Rattus norvegicus: one gene and its partners. The protein of the gene in region 2 interacts with the protein of the main gene of each other region in a pairwise test. Links are inferred from orthologs where the notes say so. Each region holds a gene or a part of one and is shown on either strand. Other genes may lie near its edges.

The links. The genes of interacting proteins can lie anywhere in the genome.
Region 1: the proteins of Arl6ip1 (region 2) and Fxr2 interact in binary tests that used the Homo sapiens proteins (3 or more experiments, as listed by UniProt). The two-hybrid records come from large-scale screens. The link is inferred for Rattus norvegicus from reciprocal best matches to the Homo sapiens genes ARL6IP1 and FXR2.
Region 3: the proteins of Arl6ip1 (region 2) and Snx11 interact in binary tests that used the Homo sapiens proteins (3 or more experiments, as listed by UniProt). The two-hybrid records come from large-scale screens. The link is inferred for Rattus norvegicus from reciprocal best matches to the Homo sapiens genes ARL6IP1 and SNX11.

Annotation. Positions count from the first base shown.
Region 1 is NC_086028.1:54,847,603-54,853,147, forward strand, and holds the start of Fxr2 (RNA-binding protein FXR2), read left to right. Parts: upstream 1-2,066; 5' UTR 2,067-2,085; coding exon 2,086-2,166; intron 2,167-5,545. UniProt on the Homo sapiens protein: mRNA-binding protein that acts as a regulator of mRNAs translation and/or stability, and which is required for adult hippocampal neurogenesis. Specifically binds to AU-rich elements (AREs) in the 3'-UTR of target mRNAs.
Region 2 is NC_086019.1:181,870,650-181,875,975, reverse strand, and holds the start of Arl6ip1 (ADP-ribosylation factor-like protein 6-interacting protein 1), read left to right. Parts: upstream 1-1,743; 5' UTR 1,744-1,798; coding exon 1,799-1,834; intron 1,835-4,332; coding exon 4,333-4,466; intron 4,467-4,912; coding exon 4,913-5,032; intron 5,033-5,326. UniProt on the Homo sapiens protein: Positively regulates SLC1A1/EAAC1-mediated glutamate transport by increasing its affinity for glutamate in a PKC activity-dependent manner.
Region 3 is NC_086028.1:82,245,688-82,251,032, reverse strand, and holds the start of Snx11 (sorting nexin-11), read left to right. Parts: upstream 1-1,866; 5' UTR 1,867-1,957; intron 1,958-2,835; exon of another isoform or gene 2,836-3,559; intron 3,560-3,906; 5' UTR 3,907-3,966; intron 3,967-4,749; exon of another isoform or gene 4,750-4,899; 5' UTR 4,900-4,912; coding exon 4,913-4,954; intron 4,955-5,345. UniProt on the Homo sapiens protein: Phosphoinositide-binding protein involved in protein sorting and membrane trafficking in endosomes. Regulates the levels of TRPV3 by promoting its trafficking from the cell membrane to lysosome for degradation.

The DNA of each region.
Region 1 (5,545 bases), on a different chromosome or scaffold from region 2:
TCTAGAACTGGAATTATAAATGGCTAAATTTTACTGTTTTCCATTTATTTTCTGTGGGTGGCCATGTACACATGCTTATGTGTGGCAGTCAGAGGAAAATGTGTGGGAATTACTTTTTAACTTTCCACCGTGTGGGGCCTAGAGATTGAACTCAGGTTAATCAGGCTTGACTACTACCTACTGAGACATCTCCCAGGCTTTAAAAAAATATTTTTTGTTGTAATTTTTGAGCCATTGTCACTAAGTATCCATGGCTGTCCTGAAATCATAAGTAGACCAGGATGATCACAAACTCACAGAGATATGTCCTCCTCTGACTACTGCTAATAAAACATCTTTTTTTTTTTTTTTTTTTTTCCGAGCTGGGGACCAAACCCAGGGCCTTGCGCAAGACCCTGGGTTTGGTCCCCAGCTCCGAAAAAAAGAAAAGAAAAAAAAAAGCATGCATCACCATGCCAGGCAAATTTAAAAATAATTTAAGCAGCATTATTAGCCAGGCCTGTGGTACTTGACTTTAATCCTAGCACGGGGGAGGCAGAGGCCCCTGAGTACATTGTAGCTGTCTTCAGATGCACCAGAAGAGGGCATCAGATCCCATTACAGATGGTTGTGAACCACCATGTGGTTGCTGGGAATTGAACTCAGGACCTCTGGAAGAGCAGTCAGCGCTCTAACCACTGAGCCATCACTCCAGCCCCTAGCTGACATCTCTCCACTTAACATTCCTTATTTTTACTTAAAAAGAAATTCTGTTATATGTGTGGGTGACCATGAATGATGTCATATGTGTGATGGTCAGGAGACAACTTGCAGGAGGTGGGGGATATCTCCTTCCATCTTGTGGGTCTAGGAATACAACTCCAGTTGTTAAGGTTGATAGTTGAGCCATCTTTCCAGGCCAGGATGTTTTAGTTACTCTGTGACAATTTTTCCTGTTTTGAATCTCCTCAGCATTTATGTATCAGGTTATGTGGCACTTTGTTTTTCACAGGGCATTGAGTTTACTAGAATATTAGAATCAACTTAGGGCAAGCATGGAAATGACATGCCTGTAATTTTTGCACTTGGGAGGCGAAGGTTGGAGGATCAGGAATTCAAGGTCATTCCCGCACTACACGGTCAGCCTAGGATACAGGAGACCCTGTCTCACAAAACTTAAAAAAAAAAAAATCTACTCAAGCCAAGAACCGTGACTCTTGATTCTCCTACGGATGCAGAGAGTCAACACATGCGCATGGACACCAAAGCCCAGCGCCTGCGCACTGGGCAGTTTTTTTCCTTTCGGTCCCAACCCTCCCAGCCCCCCTTTGGAGTGTGCGCACCGAGAAAGACAAAGGTGGTGAAAGTGACCAAGCAGTCATTCCGGCGCATGCCCATCCCTAAATTGCCCAGGCTCCATGGGGGCTCACTTTGTGGAGGCGGAAGTCCAATCCGACGGAGCGAGCGCGGCCCCTCTCTTCCCTTGATTGGTTTGCTTCCAGTGTTGTGGGGCGGGGAAAGGAAGGGACAGGGACAGTGGAAGGTTGGAGCGGTACAGATAGAGCGCTCATCTCGTTCTGCGCAAGCGCAGAGACGCGACCAGGAGGGGGCGTGAGAGAGTGCAAGAGAATGTGGAAGCCCTGACGCGCTGGCGAGCGGGAGCTAGGTCGCTAGCCTAGACGCCTGCGCCTTGGCCCTCCGGCTCCGCGCGCGGCGGGCGGGTGCCCTGTGCGCCTGCGCAGTAGGCGGCGGCGGCAGGGGGAGGTGGAGGCCGTGGAGCGGCAGCGGCAGCAGCGGGTCCCGGGACTGAGGCAGCAGCGGGGGCGCCGGCGGGCGGAAGCTGAGGTGACGAAGGCGGCGGCGGCGGCGGCCGTTTCCCTCACGGTGGCGGAGACCAAGGCAGCGGCGGCGGCGGACGGGGAGCGGCCCGGCCCCGGCCCCCTGCTCGTCGGCTGTAGCAGGGCCGCCGTGGGGCCGGCCCGGCTCCCGCCCCCCGCGGCTCCCCCTCCGGCTCCTCCTCCTGGGAGACGCCGGGGGCCCGGCCCGGCCCGCACTCAGGGCTCTGTTTCAGCTGCTGCCGGGGCAGTCGGAGGTGGTGGCGGCGCCATGGGCGGCCTGGCCTCTGGGGGGGATGTGGAGCCGGGACTGCCCGTCGAGGTGCGGGGCTCCAACGGGGCCTTCTACAAGGTGAGACGGCGCGTCGACCCGGGACACACTCCTTAGCCCCCTCCCCCAGCCGAGGCAGGGAAGAGTGCAGCGGGATCGAGTTTCTGGAGCTTAGTCCTGACCCTTCGAACCTTCGACCCACGTTCCCACTCGAAACCCTCCCGGGGAGATCGTGGGAGTTAACCCTCGTGCTTTTATTTTTGAGCCCGCTATTACACCTGCTTTTATCCTCAGCTGAAGGCATGAACATCAGGTCATTACTATGCGTGGATGGGAACCCTGGAGAAACCCCTTTTCTTAGCTTCTAATCGACTTTTCTTGTTTTTTAGTGTAGGAGATACTTCAGCTTTTAATCACATCTCCCCTACAGCCAAGCACATGGAGGATTCCCTTTCTTTTCCTACATGACCCCCTTGTGAAGGTCCACTGTGCCATATTAGGTCTTCGGTCTTCAGGGAGGCTTCTTTGCCTACTGGCTCTAGAACCATTTGCTCAACTTTCATCTTACATTCCTGTTCCCAGTCTGACAAGAAATGGTCAGAACCCATTTGTTACTTTAGCATCTTTGGCCTCAGGTTTTATCAGCCAGCCAGCCAGCCATTTAGTGGATTTGTTGGACAAGTCTGTCACCTACCACACCTTTATACCAAAGCCAGCTCTCCAGGGATGGATTCGTGTTTTATCTCTTTGACTCTAGATGTATTTAGGTCATTCCTATATCTTCTTGGTAAGTTTAAGCCTCACCATCTCTAAAAGGCCATCTCCACATGCTTCTGTTCTTCTGATTTCTGCTTGTTGACAGTCTTTTTGGAAAGAAAAAAGTAGCTTTCAGAATTGCTTATTTCAGCTTTTTCTTTGTCCAAGATTTGATTCCTGTGAACTTTTTTGAGGGGTGTGGTTGGGACAAGATTCCCTGGCTGGACTTGAACTCTTCTGTACTCCTTCCTCAGCCTAGGGTTACAGTTCTGGGATTATAGATTGAGCCACCATGCCAGACCAGAACTTTTGTTTTTTCTTTCTATCCATTATCCACCCCATCTTCTGTATCTGAGTCCATTCTGGATCCCCTTCACCCCTAATTTAGATTCAGACTGATTCTTCTCACCCCTCAGGTATTTTCTTCATCTGATCTTGTGGGGTTCTGAACCTCTTCTGCATTTTTTTGGATGGAATTGTCCTGGAAATTTTGGTTCCTCTCTTACTCCTTTCATTCTGGAGAAGAAGAATTTTCATAGCATTAGATGGGAGATGAGATTCCTTTTTCCTTCATGTTTCTTCTGGTTGTCTGTCCCCCTACCCTAGTAGAACTTTCTACTTTCTCATGCCCTTGGAAATAACTTTGACTACTATGAAATTGTATCTTTTTGTAGCTGAAAAGGGACGGGTCTGCCCCGCCTCTGTAGGTGTTTCCTACCCCCACTTCAACTGACCCGTTAGTTACCCACTGTGAAGGCCATGGCAATTTCCCCTTTTCTGATCACGTTCTTCACCCAGTGCCTATGGGTACACATATCTCCTAGCTTTAATTTAGCCTCTCAATTAAGTCTTGGTACTTTTGTACTCCTGTGGATCCTCATTGAGGTCCACCTATCTATCCTTTGTATAGCTGAAGAAGGTTCCCTGTCACTTTCCTAACTCTTGGTACTTTTTTTCTTACTAGAAGAATGTCTTTGTAACATTTCTGTTTTCTGTAGCAAAAGTCTCTTAATTCCTTTTGGGCTCTGATGGGGCTCTGGGGCTCCTTTCCCCCACATTTGTATTACCTTTGTTAAAAGTGTCCTCAGGCTGGGTATGGTGGTGCCTACTCTAATCCTAGGACTTGGAAGACTGAAGTAGGATTGTTGAAGTTCAAAACTAGTGTGGAGAATGAAATCAGACTGAAAAAACAACCCAAACAAAACCAAAAAGTACTCTATAAGTTGTTAGTTCTATTTTTCTTGATATGTTAGCCTTCATCTGTATCTTTCTCACCCCAAAATGTTAAATTCCAAGAAAAGTGAGATATGTATATATATATCTATATATATATCTATATCATATTTTTCTTTTCCTTTTTTTTTTTTTTTTTTTTTCTTTGCTTTGATTTTTGGGGACAGGATTTCTCTTTGTAGCTTTGGCTGCCCTGAACTCAAACTCACTGAGATAGGTTTGCCTTTGTTGAGTGCTGGGATTAAAAGCAGCATCCACAACCACTCCTAGTTTGAAAAGTGATTCTTCAATTGAGTGTGAGATCAAGATAAGATATTTGCTTTTGGTTTAAGGAAGCATGGAAGCCATGCGCAGCTGGGACATGGGACAGATCAGTGCTCAGTTCAAATTAACTGTATGAAGTGGTTGCAAAGGGACATGTTTTCTGTTACACATATGGGTAGCAAACAGAAAGTCTCTTTTGACTTTTGTCATTTTATCCTATGGGCCTATGGGCCATAGCAGTGATAGATTTGAGTGAAGCAGAGACAGGATTCTTTGATAGTATAGAGTTAACAGTTGAATAAAAGCCAAATAACATAGATTTTGTGTTCTGGCCACTTCACTTTCTGCTCCATGACTGAGTAAAAGGCAATTCCCTAAAATTAGACTAATCCTTTTTAAACTCAGTGTACACTGTAGATACTTGCGTATTCCAAGTTGATTAATATTCATGACTCAGCAAACTTTGATGTGAGTAAGGGAGTATTAACTGTCTTTTAGATCTTTTTAAGTTTGGGGAGATCCCTTTCTCCTTTCAAAAAACTGTGTTTTACTTTGATTTTTTTCCTAGGGCCTATAGATACCAGATCTGAGGTCTAAGTTATTTTAGAACTATCCTCTCAAACTTTCCTTTTCTGTCAGGATGATATGTTTTGTTTTAAGGTGAGTTTCAGGTGGCTTGGGCTTTTAGCTGGGGATGACCTTGAACTCCTGGTTTTACTGGCTTCATTTCCCAAGTGCTGGGATTACAGGTACACACCACCAACCCCAACTTCATAGTGTGTTTTAATTCTTTTTTGTCTGTGTTTTTGGGAGGAAGTTTTATAATAGTTCAAGCTCGAGCTTATGATTCTCCTAGCTCTTCCTCCTACTGACTAGAATTTTATGGGTCTGTGCCATCTCACCTGGCATTACTTTCATTCTTTAAGTTGTCCTTTTTTCACATGAAATCCATATTCACTTTCTGCTGTAGTCAATCTTATTTTCTGTACCTTGTCTGGGTTTCTTTTTCTTCTGAGACAGAATTTCCTCTGTGTGACTTCTCTGGAAGTCACTCTAGGTTAGGCTGGCCTTGGAAGGTGTGGGCCACCACCACCCTATAAGACGGGTCTTGCTGTGTGTACCTGGAGCCTGTTTTGTTGACCATGCTAAGCATGAACTTGAGGTCTCTCATCGTAGCCTTCCACATGCTAGGCAAGTATCCTTCCAC
Region 2 (5,326 bases):
CTCAATTTACAGTAACCACATGGTGGCTCACAAACATCTGTAAAGGGATCCGGTGTGTCTGAAGACAGTGACAACGTGTTCACATACATAAAATAAATCTTAAAGATCTCAAAAAAAAAAAAATCCTTTTTGAACAGCCATTCAAAGGTAAGGATGGGTGAATCTCTGGTTTCTAGGCCAACCTGGTCTGTAAAACAAGTACCAGGACTGTCAGGACTACACAGAGAAACCCTGTCTCGAATAGCAAAAGAATGTATGAAGCTCAGTTTTAGCAATATTTAAAACAAAACTTTGACCCTTATTCTGAGTGAAAGAAATGAAAAGAATATTTGGGAAGAGTTCATTTGCTATGCCAAAGTTCTGAGGAAGATTAGTGTAACGGGCTTCATCATCTGACACATTTCAAAGGTCACTCCTCTTTGTGTTAAAAAAAAAAAAAAGATGTTTATAACCCTTGGGCCAATTTGCAAGGTCAGTGAGAGCTGGATTTGGACCTGGGGCTGTCCTAAATTTAATCTTAAATTTTACTTTGGGAACACCGATTAAACTTGAAGCTTTCTGAAGCAGTAGCCAAGTTACCAAGGTAGAAGTGACAGATTTTAAAAACCCTCTTTTTACTCTTCTGTCCTCTTAGAAAGTGACTTCCTGGTACCAGGTTAGCTTGGTTCAGCTGTTTTGGTCCTTTTGTTCTCAGTACTGAGGAGGCGAAGGAGGGAACTCCAGGCCTTACAATTTTCGATATGATTTATCAGCCGAGTCATAACCCCCCACCCCCACCCCCACCCCCCATAACACACACACACTCTGAGCTGCTTTGCTGGTCAAAACGTCTGACAAATTGCCCCTTTGATAGAACCACCGTGGGCCAGAAAGGACCAGGCTTATTTGGGCTCACTATGTGGTCTCTCAGGTTTCTTTTAAACTTCCAGGGACTTTAAAGAACCTGGTAATTTGCTTATTTATTTTATTTTTTAAAGAATATAAATCTAAGATAGTTGAAGTCCGTATTTAGCATGGCTTCCCCATAACACCCATTAATCAGTTCGAAGCGTTCCATCATCTGAATTGTTCCTCTACCCATCCATCCCTCCGAATGAAGCGCTCCCCTAGCTACCTGAAGTACTCAAATCAATCAAGTGAAGCGCCCCGCAAATGATTCCCCCAAAGTCTGGCTGCAAATGACGCCCTTTAAGAGTTCGTGCATCTTTCGTGTTCTCAAAACGCCTGTTAACACTGTTGGCGAAAAGGCAGCAGCATTAGGCACAGGTGCTCACATGGGGACGCTTGTCTTCCAGTCAGCAGGTGCCACGGGAACCTAAAAGCGTCCCTTGCCCATCTAGCCTCCGCATAGGATGCCACTGCGCATCCTCTACTCAGCTGAGCAGACAGGCCCCTCGGCGCCTTTGAGATACAGCAGAAGACAGGTAGGGAGTAGAGAGGCCACAAACGTTCAGGAAGATTTGGGTGAGAGACTAGCGACGGCGGTTGAACCGCTTCCTTCCGCTCCGCCTCCCGCGGGCCACACCCCTGCACTCTGATTGGCCAGAGTCTTTCAGCTCCGCGCAGCTTCACTCTCCTTTGACCTGGATTTCAAGTCATGCGCTAGCTGCCGGTTGGCCTGGCTTCCCAGAAGCCGGAGTGCGGTCTATCCAATGAGGAGCGAGTTTCGCGAGGGCTGTCGGGAAAGGCAGCGAGCCTATATAAGCGGCCTGCGGGGCGTTCCCCCCCGCGCTCGGGTTACCGTGCTGGTGTTGGGTTTGGTGTGTTCGCGCTCGTTGATAACCGTGCGTCTGGAACGATGGCCGAGGGGGATAACCGCAGCAGCAACCTGCTGGTGAGTCGCAGTGGTCAGTTTGTCTCCAGAGCTCCCGGATGGACCTCCTGGTCTTGGTGAACTACAGGGGCAGCCAGGCCTGATCCTGGGACTCCCTGCCCATCTCCACGGTGGTGGTCCTTGCTGCCGATCCCCAACGTCCCCCGGGGAGCGTGCACTACAAGGCTTGGACCGTGAGTGTGGAAATGTGAGAAGGGGTCTGTGGCAAGAAGGAACCTGGGTAGCAGGTTGGGGCACTCGGCCGCAAGGGGCCTTGTCTAGCGTTCCCGGCTCAGGCCGGAGAGACCTACCTGTTTTGCCCTCTGATCTTAATTTCATGTTTCGTAGATTATTATTATTTTTTCTTTTTTTCGGAGCTGGGGACCGAACCCAGGGCCTTGTGCTTGCTAGGCAAGCGCTCTACCACTGAGCTAAATCCCCAGCCCCTCGTAGATTATTTTTAATCATGATTCTTTTTTCCCTAAAACTTGGCGCAAGGATGGAGGGTCAAAGGGCTGCTACAGAGAATTAGTTTATCGCTGACACAGAATTTGTTGGAGTTGCTTGGTTGGAGTTCACCGCAGGAAGCTGAAAACGGGTTATGCGGAAAGGACAGTGGGAGATCCTGGCACTTGTCTGGGAACTGACGAGGGACTCACCGGACTGGTTGCAACTTTAAAATGATTAGCACAGATTTTTTTTTCTTTTTTTTCGGAGCTGGGGACCGAACCCAGGGCCTTGCGCTTGCTAGGCAAGCGCTCTACCACTGAGCTAAATCCCCAACCCCGATTAGCACAGATTTGAAGGAGCTGCAGGAGATGGTATTAAAGGAGGGCATGTTTGCTTCATTACAAGTTTTTGTTTTTGTTTTTTTAAGGCTAGGTTTTCGTGTATCCTGACCTATCGAGGTTAGCCTTGTATTTGTCATCCTCCTGTCTCCACCTCTCAAGCGCTGGGATTACAGTTGAGCATCACCAGGCCCTGTTTTAAATTTTAAACTGCACGTAGGCAAGAACGAAAGATCATTCCCCTCCCCCCGCCCTGTAATGTCATTCCCCAGAAAAGGCAGACCATATCAGAAATGAAAATAGCAATCAGATTTTAATCAGCTTTTTCACTTTTTCTGAGAGCCTAAGTGCCGACAAGTGACTTTGGGACAGTTTTGATTGTACAAGATTTTCAGTTTGTATTCGTGTTTAAATGTGAATGCCCTGTATCCTTGAATTCCCTCTACACAGACACACACACACACACACACACACACACACACACACACACAGTACATAAGCAAACAATCCAATAGAGATGCCTGCCCTGCATCCTAAATCTTACCCTACACAATACACATACACCAACAAACAATCCAGTAAGAGGATTAATTGCTGTACAGGGAAACTCCCACAGGAGAGGGCCTCTATTTCCATCAATGCAGTATCATTTTAAGGAGAGCAAGGCCATTAGTCTTATGTTTCCTGGATTTAAATATATTAGCCTCTTTGTGTCTCAGTCTCCTCATCTTAAAGTAGAGGTTGTAAGAATACCTTTTCCAGTTTGAGGAGCATTAATTGAAGTTTAACATGTAAAAGGTTAAGAATTTCTAGTGTGGGGTGACGTCAGAAGTTCTTAGTCACATATTTCATCTTTACTAAAATTAGCCTCAACCGTACTATCATTTGCATACTACTTTGTGAAAAGTTGATGTATCGGTTGAGCTTTGTGTGTTTGTGGTTCCTGGATGTTGAATCCAGGGTTCTGCACAGACTGAGCAACTGCTGGGTTCTAATTTCCTTCCTTTACTAAAGTCCCTGATAGGTCTAGGCCACAATAGCCCATGGTGAAGGTACGCTTTTGACTGGTTGTCGCATATGCAGAGAAACTTTGAGATTTAATTGAAATTCCATCATTAACAAGAAGAAGCCATTATGGAGAACTTTTAAGTGCTGAGGTCACATAATTTGGTTAGAATAGTTTTCTTTAATTCCACAGTGACTGCCAATACCAGAGTTATTCTATTATACTATTAATAGTATAAATACTATTATGTATTTAGTATTAAGGGAAAAGTTCTCCTGATGGATTTAGAAGGGCTTAAATCAATAAATTGACCAATCAACAGATCAATGCCAACCACCTGAAATGAGCAAACAGAATATTCAATTTAGTAATATTCTGAGCACTGCCTCATGGCTCTGTGGGTACATTGGGGATATTGGTTAACCATATTAAGCTCACCTTCATGAATATTGAAATACATTGTGAAACCTTGGCAGTATGATGATACATCATGGACATGTGTCCCAGTGCTAAAGTGACCATTAAAGCCTATGCTTTCTCCTGCCCACGGATTTTCATGTTTGTGTACCAAAAGTGCAGTTTTTCATGACTCACCTTGTTTAAGATAACAGTTTTGTTAAAGGCATTTTATGTGTATTTGATGACTTAGAAAGATTTTACTCACTTGAGCCACCAAAGTGTTGAGATTGGGGAAGTGACACTGTAACACTGTTGGTCATGCGTAGGCCGTGGAGACTGCAAGTCTTGAAGAGCAGCTGCAAGGCTGGGGAGAAGTGATGCTGATGGCTGACAAAGTCCTTCGGTGGGAAAGAGCCTGGTTTCCACCTGCCATTATGGGTGTGGTCTCCCTGCTGTTCCTGTAAGTGAGAGATTCTATTGCTAAATGCTCCGAGGGTTCATAGCCTATGCTTAGAGAAGCTTTTGTACTACATAATCCAAGAGGAATGCCTTTATTTCAAGCAGCTTGCCCACTTTCTAGAATTTGTAGTCCTTATGTAAAATTGTAAGTTAATACTGTTGAATAAATTCCAGACACTCAAACTCTTATTTCAACACTCTTGCTTTATATTATTTTCTACTAAATATTGAGGTCTCCAGAGTTTTTGACTATCGTTGTTTACATTAAGCACTTTTTTAACTGTGACAACATCATGCCGTGGTACCTCGAGAAAACCCTTTGTGAGGAAATTAGAAAGGAAACAGCACCATCTCTGAGAAGCTGAGGGTGAAGAGTGAACCTCTTTGACTAGGAATAATGACCACTGTGGTTCTCTAACCTTGGTTAATTTTCTTTGTTTTTAATAGGATTATCTATTATCTCGATCCATCTGTGCTGTCCGGTGTTTCCTGTTTTGTCATGTTTTTGTGCCTGGCTGACTACCTTGTTCCCATTCTAGCACCAAGGATTTTTGGCTCTAATAAATGGTAGGTGGCTCTGCATGATTAGTGTGCTGTGCTTAAAGAAGACGATTGTCTAGCCATCAGATATCTTCTAGGAGTTAGAGTCATTGCTCTTAAGTGAAGAATTTCATACCTAATTTCAAATGTATATCAAGAACTTTTAGTGCACTATCTAGTTCACTTTGGTCAAAAATTTGCTTTTGATTGTCTATTTAGTTTTATTTCTATACCTTAAGTAAGGATATTTTTTAAAGGTGATATTTAACTAAGAATTCCAGAACTCTTTTTTTTTTTTTTTTAACTACATAATGTTTGTTT
Region 3 (5,345 bases), on a different chromosome or scaffold from region 2:
TAAGAATCCAGCTGTTGGGGTTGGGGATTTAGCTCAGTGGTAGAGCACTTGCCTAGCAAGCGCAAGGCCCTGGATTTGGTCCTCAACTCTTAAAAAAAAAAAAAAAAAAAAAAAAAAAAAAAAGAATCCAGCTGTCTCCTAAGCCAGATACTAAAGAGATTTACAAAATCGTAACGCAGAGCTGTTCCTCTTGCTGTTCTGTCTTTGAAAATATAGATCATAAAATATTTTAACAAAATATCTTTGGGGTTTAATTTTATGCCTGCCTATGGATGTCTTGCTTGCACGTTAAGTAGTACTCCTCATGAGTGTAGTGCTCCTAGAGGCTAGATGAGGGTGTCAGAACAGTGGATGAGAGCCCTCATATGTGTTCTGGGAACTGAACCCAGGTCTTCTGCAAGAACAAGTGCTCTTAACTGATGTGCTTTCTCTCTCCTGCCTCAGTCTCTCAATTTTTATTTCTAAGTCAATGACTGTCCTACATTTCCCAATACTATAAGATGTCCTTATGATTTCAAATGTTTGTTTAAAGGGATCCTGAGATCAAAGGTCTGAGAAGTTCTGTTTTGAGTTGTAGGACTAATATCCGTCTGGATAGGTAACTACCATTGTGCTTTGGGAGTAGCTCAAGGCCACAGTCAGTGTAGTGCTGTGTTTCCCTCTCACCCACATTCTTATTAGTGCTCATAAGTTTTTAAGGGGAGTTGGGATTGAGAAATGACTTTGAGGTTAAGAGCACCTTTTGCCCTTGTATAGGGGCAGAGTTCAGTTCTCAGCACCCACACAATGGTCCCAACCACTTGTAACTCCAGTCCTAGGAGATCTAAGGCCCTCATCTGTCCCCTAAGGGTTTCAGGTAGATCTATGGTACACACCCATACTTATAGGCAAAATACTCAGCTACGCAAAATAAAAAGTAATAAATATTCATTTTTGGTGTGAGTATGCCTCGATCCATTGAAGTTGGAGTTGCAGGAATTTGTGAGCGGCGTGAATTTGTGGGTGCTGAATTCATCTTCTCAAGTCATTTCTACAGCTGTTTTGCTTTTAAGCACCCCAAGCTAGCCTGAAACTAATGTAGTTGGCGTTGGCCTTCAGTTCCTGCCTCTGCTTCCAAGTGGTGGGATTACAGATGTAAAATTAACTTTTTAACAGATCAGAGAGGCTTTTCGTTTGTATCTTCAGACAGCTTCAGTCTATATCCTGGAACTCACTTTGTCTTCAACTTTCCAAGTGTTAGGATTCGGGGCATGAGCCATTTCCATTGGCTTAAGAGGAATTTAGATATCTCTATAATTAGCATTTTCACCGGCTTTTTCTTGTTTACTAACTGCATGGGCCTGCTTTGGGTTTGACAACTGTTTGAGGAGTTGTCAACTTCGTGTGTTTTTTGCTGGGATAATCCGTGGCTTTTCCAAATTTAACTGGCAGTGCCCTTGACATTTCAGATGGGGAATTGCAACCTCCGAGATTCAAGCCTGGACTATCGAGATCGTCTAAAGCTTCTGGAACGCGAGAAACCTCCCACTCTAATTACTCTGTAACACCCAGGAGATACTTAGGATCCCAAGATGCTTTCGCCGGCCTTTAAAGACTTCCTGAGCGTTGATTGGCCCGCCTGACGGCCGTGGGCGGAACGCGGCACCCGAGTGGACTTCACCGGGTCTCGGTCCTTGCGCTCCGCCTCTCACGCCCCAAGCGATTTCCGGAAAGATGTGGATTTCAGCTGAGGCCTGGGCGTGGCGGTGATTCTCCGCTGACCGGCGATCACCACTGAGAGCCCTGGTCTTCAGGGGTGGGGCGTCCTGGACACTCAGGATTGGCCCGTCGGGAGCCGCCTCCCGTCGTGCACTGGGGCGCCGGCGACTCACCCGGAAGGAGAAGCCGGAATCTGCATCTGGCTATATGGTTCGGTGCTGGTGGTGTCGCTATAGAGAGCTGCTGCTGCTGCTCTCAGGTGAGGGGGCGTGGGCGGGGCCGCGGCTCGTAGGTGCTGCTGGGGAATGGGTTGTCGACTTGAGCAGTAGTGGTGACATTTAAGTGTTGGCCTCGGTTGACACGCTAGGGAAGGTGCGTCTTACCGCCCGGTGTGAAAGTGAGGGCTTGCTGGGACCCAAGAAGAAAGGAAGCCTGGCTTTTCAATATACTTTGAAATTAGAAGGTGTCTTTCCGTTCCGAGTTTTGCCGGGAAAAGAGAGGGACCATTTTGGCTGGTTTCCATCTAAGTTTGCTAAAGAATGGAAAGGAGTGGCCGGAGTCAGAATTTAGGGATGTCTACCCAAGTGGCCGGGAGTGGAAGGAAATGGGAGATACTTTTCGCAGATACTGGAAATTATGCTCGCCTTTATTACTTTCAGCTGAAAGGAGTAGGTTACCGACTGAAAGGTGAAACAGCTGTTTGATGGACAGGCCAGGTTGTCTGGCGGAAGAGTCTCCTCGAACACCCGTGGGGTATTTAGAAAGGCGAGGTTTTTGAGTCGCTGTCTGTAACACCAGAGGCTCAAGAGTGAGCAAGAAAGGTCTCCTTGGTGCAATCTTTTTTTACAGCCTGATGTGTTTTTAACGTGTCCCTTGAAGTAGTTTAAGTGGGAGAGAAAATGAGAAGGCTTTGAATTGCTCCCCTGAATTAGCAGTTGCGAGCTTTACAATGCGTCAAACTTAGTACACTCCCGAAAGCTCTGGCCCTTCCCCAGGACTGTTGGTGCCAGTATTGTTGAGGGAAGCAAAGAACACTTGAGGCAGGATGGAAAAGGCCGCGGAAATGTAGTTAGCATTGAGCAAGCTTCTTAACCTTTGGAGGTTACTTGATTCTGTCCTTCCTTTATGGGTACACAGGTCCGCCTCTTCGGACAGGTCATAGAGTTGAAGTTCAGAACTCGATGCTTCTCCAGGAATGGAACTGAGCTCCGTTTTCTTCCGAAAGAGTGGTCTTTTTAGGAAGGATGTCAACTGGGAGCAGTGGTTGTTAGAAATGGAGCCTGGTTTTTGCAGTGTCAGCGTTTTAAGGAAATTGACAACCAGAAACTCCTCAGTGCCCTTTGAACGTCCAGAGTCGCAGGAGGCTTGGAGCGCCTTAAAAGCCAGTTTATGGTTATTTGTTTCTGTATGACAGTAGCTCCAAAATAAAGGAGAAAAACTTCCACATGGGGGTGCTGCAGGCCCCTAACAAACTCTTCTTTAGACCAAACGTCTGATGACATCCTCTAAGTGCGTAGATGACCTTTCTTGTCATCTTTTCTGTTGTACTACAAACACAAACCAACCCAAACCAAAAACCACTTCAGAATACTTAACTTTCTGTTCTTCTGCTGGCGGTCAGCAAGTGCCTAAAAAGAGAAGAGGGGGGATCCCATCAGGTTAATTATTCACAGAAAGTCTGTTGGCTTTGGTCACAGATCTTTGTCTATTTCATCTGGACTGTCGTATTGGGTTATTGGGGGATTGAGGTCCCCTGCATTTCAGTTTAGGGGCTCTTGGAGGTGGCGACTGCTCTGGAGGAAAAGTCAGATCGTCAGCAAGAATGCTGTTTATTATGGTGCCGACATCACAAAACCTCCAGGTTTGCTCCACAGCCTAGCTCAGTTTTGTCAATCTGCCGCGTGGAGCTTTGTCCCTGCGTGTGGGGTCTGTCTGTAGAGACACCTTCTGGGATGTTGGAAAGAATTGCGAAAGCTGTTTGCTCTGCTAATTTCATGCTATAAACGAGTTCCCCTTCCTTTGAAACATTAGCCCTATGTTAGCAAAACATAAAATAGACGGAAGCTCATTACGCACTCTTCTAATGGTGAGGCAGAACTAATAAGAGAATGTGTTTAAAATTAATTGTGGGACTGTAAAAGCGAGTGGGTGTGCGAATGGGCATGGGAGGAGGAGAGGGAGAGCTTAGAGATGGTCTCGTTTTCCCAGGAGCCAGCCGGGATCGTTTGTTGGCAGTACATATTGGCTGAAGTCAGTTTTCATTTCAAGGTAAATTGGAAAGGGAAATTAAACCTTATTGTTCTGCTCTTAAGAGAGAGGAAGGGGTGGAGGCGGCAGGCAGGGTGGATGCTGTTGGAGTGGTTCTAGGAGTAACAAGATTAGTGCTGTATTTTAACAGAAGGTGACATCATGGGCCCCTTTGGAATCCAGTAACCCTGTGCTACAGCCTTCATGGTCCCCTTGTTGGAGTGGGCGATGTCGCTGTACACATAAACTGCCACACTGGGGGAAATCAGTGGCTTAGGCTTTAATGAATCTTTACAAAGGAGCAGAACGCATCCTGAGTTGACCCGAGAAGCTGTGGGGTGCTCAGGCAGAGGTGCAAACCGGATGGCGGGCGTGTCAGGATGGGAATTGATTATAACGGTTGGCTCCATTTCTGGGGAGCTGGTAAGAGAAGGTGGTAAACTGTAACTGGACTCTTCAGTTGGGTGCTCCTAGGACCACTCACCTGAATGGAGGTGACCTTTGGTTAGCCAGACAAAGAGAGATTGGTAATTGTGAGGAATTAGTTGTCTCTAAACAACCAGGAGGGGGCGCTGGTAGGCTCCTTTTCAAAGCTGAGTTCAGAAGACTGCTAAGCCGCAGTCCTCCAGCAAAAGTTTACAATGGAACCCACCTGCCTCTCTGGCCACAACACACTCTCCTCATGTCCCCAGGAGCTCTAGACTGAGGTGGCCTTTAGAGTGTCCACCTTTAGTAGTAGTCTGGATGGAGGCAAATTCCCCAGGGTTTTTAGCTAATATGGGGTTTTCCCCCTTCCTCTTTCAGGTTTTACACATAATTGGGGTTGAGGGGAAAGTTACCTACCTGGATTTCCCCAAGGGACGTCTGTGAAAAACTTTTGGGGGTTTTGCTCTGCGAGAACCCAGTACGGACACGCTAACTGTGCGTCCTTCCATGTCCTCTGCTCCTCCCCAGATGTTCTCTTCCGATGGGCTTTTGGTGTAGGATGTTGGAGAACCAAGAGCTGGAGGTAAGCAGGGTCTCCAGGTGGGTCAGAGTCGGAGGGCCACTTAGGGGGAGGGGACACAGATGGCAGAGCATCGTCTGCGGTGCTTTTTCCCTGTTAATACTCTTGGTGTTTCAAATTAAAGCCAGGAGAAGGAAAGAAGTAGCAGGTGTGTGTGCTGAGAAGCGAGCCTCCTTACTAACTCTCCCATTGGTTAGAATGTCCTAGAATGTTGTAAGCCCTTTTAAAATGAAGTTTTCGGTTATCACCCAAGACATGGGGCTCATTAGGACATTTCGTACACGTTTATCATTGTACTTTGTTCTTATTTGTTTACTGTTTCCCCGTGCACATTAAACTCAGGGCCTTGTGGGTGCTCAGCTCGAGAGTGAGCCATACGTTTCTCTTCCTAGCT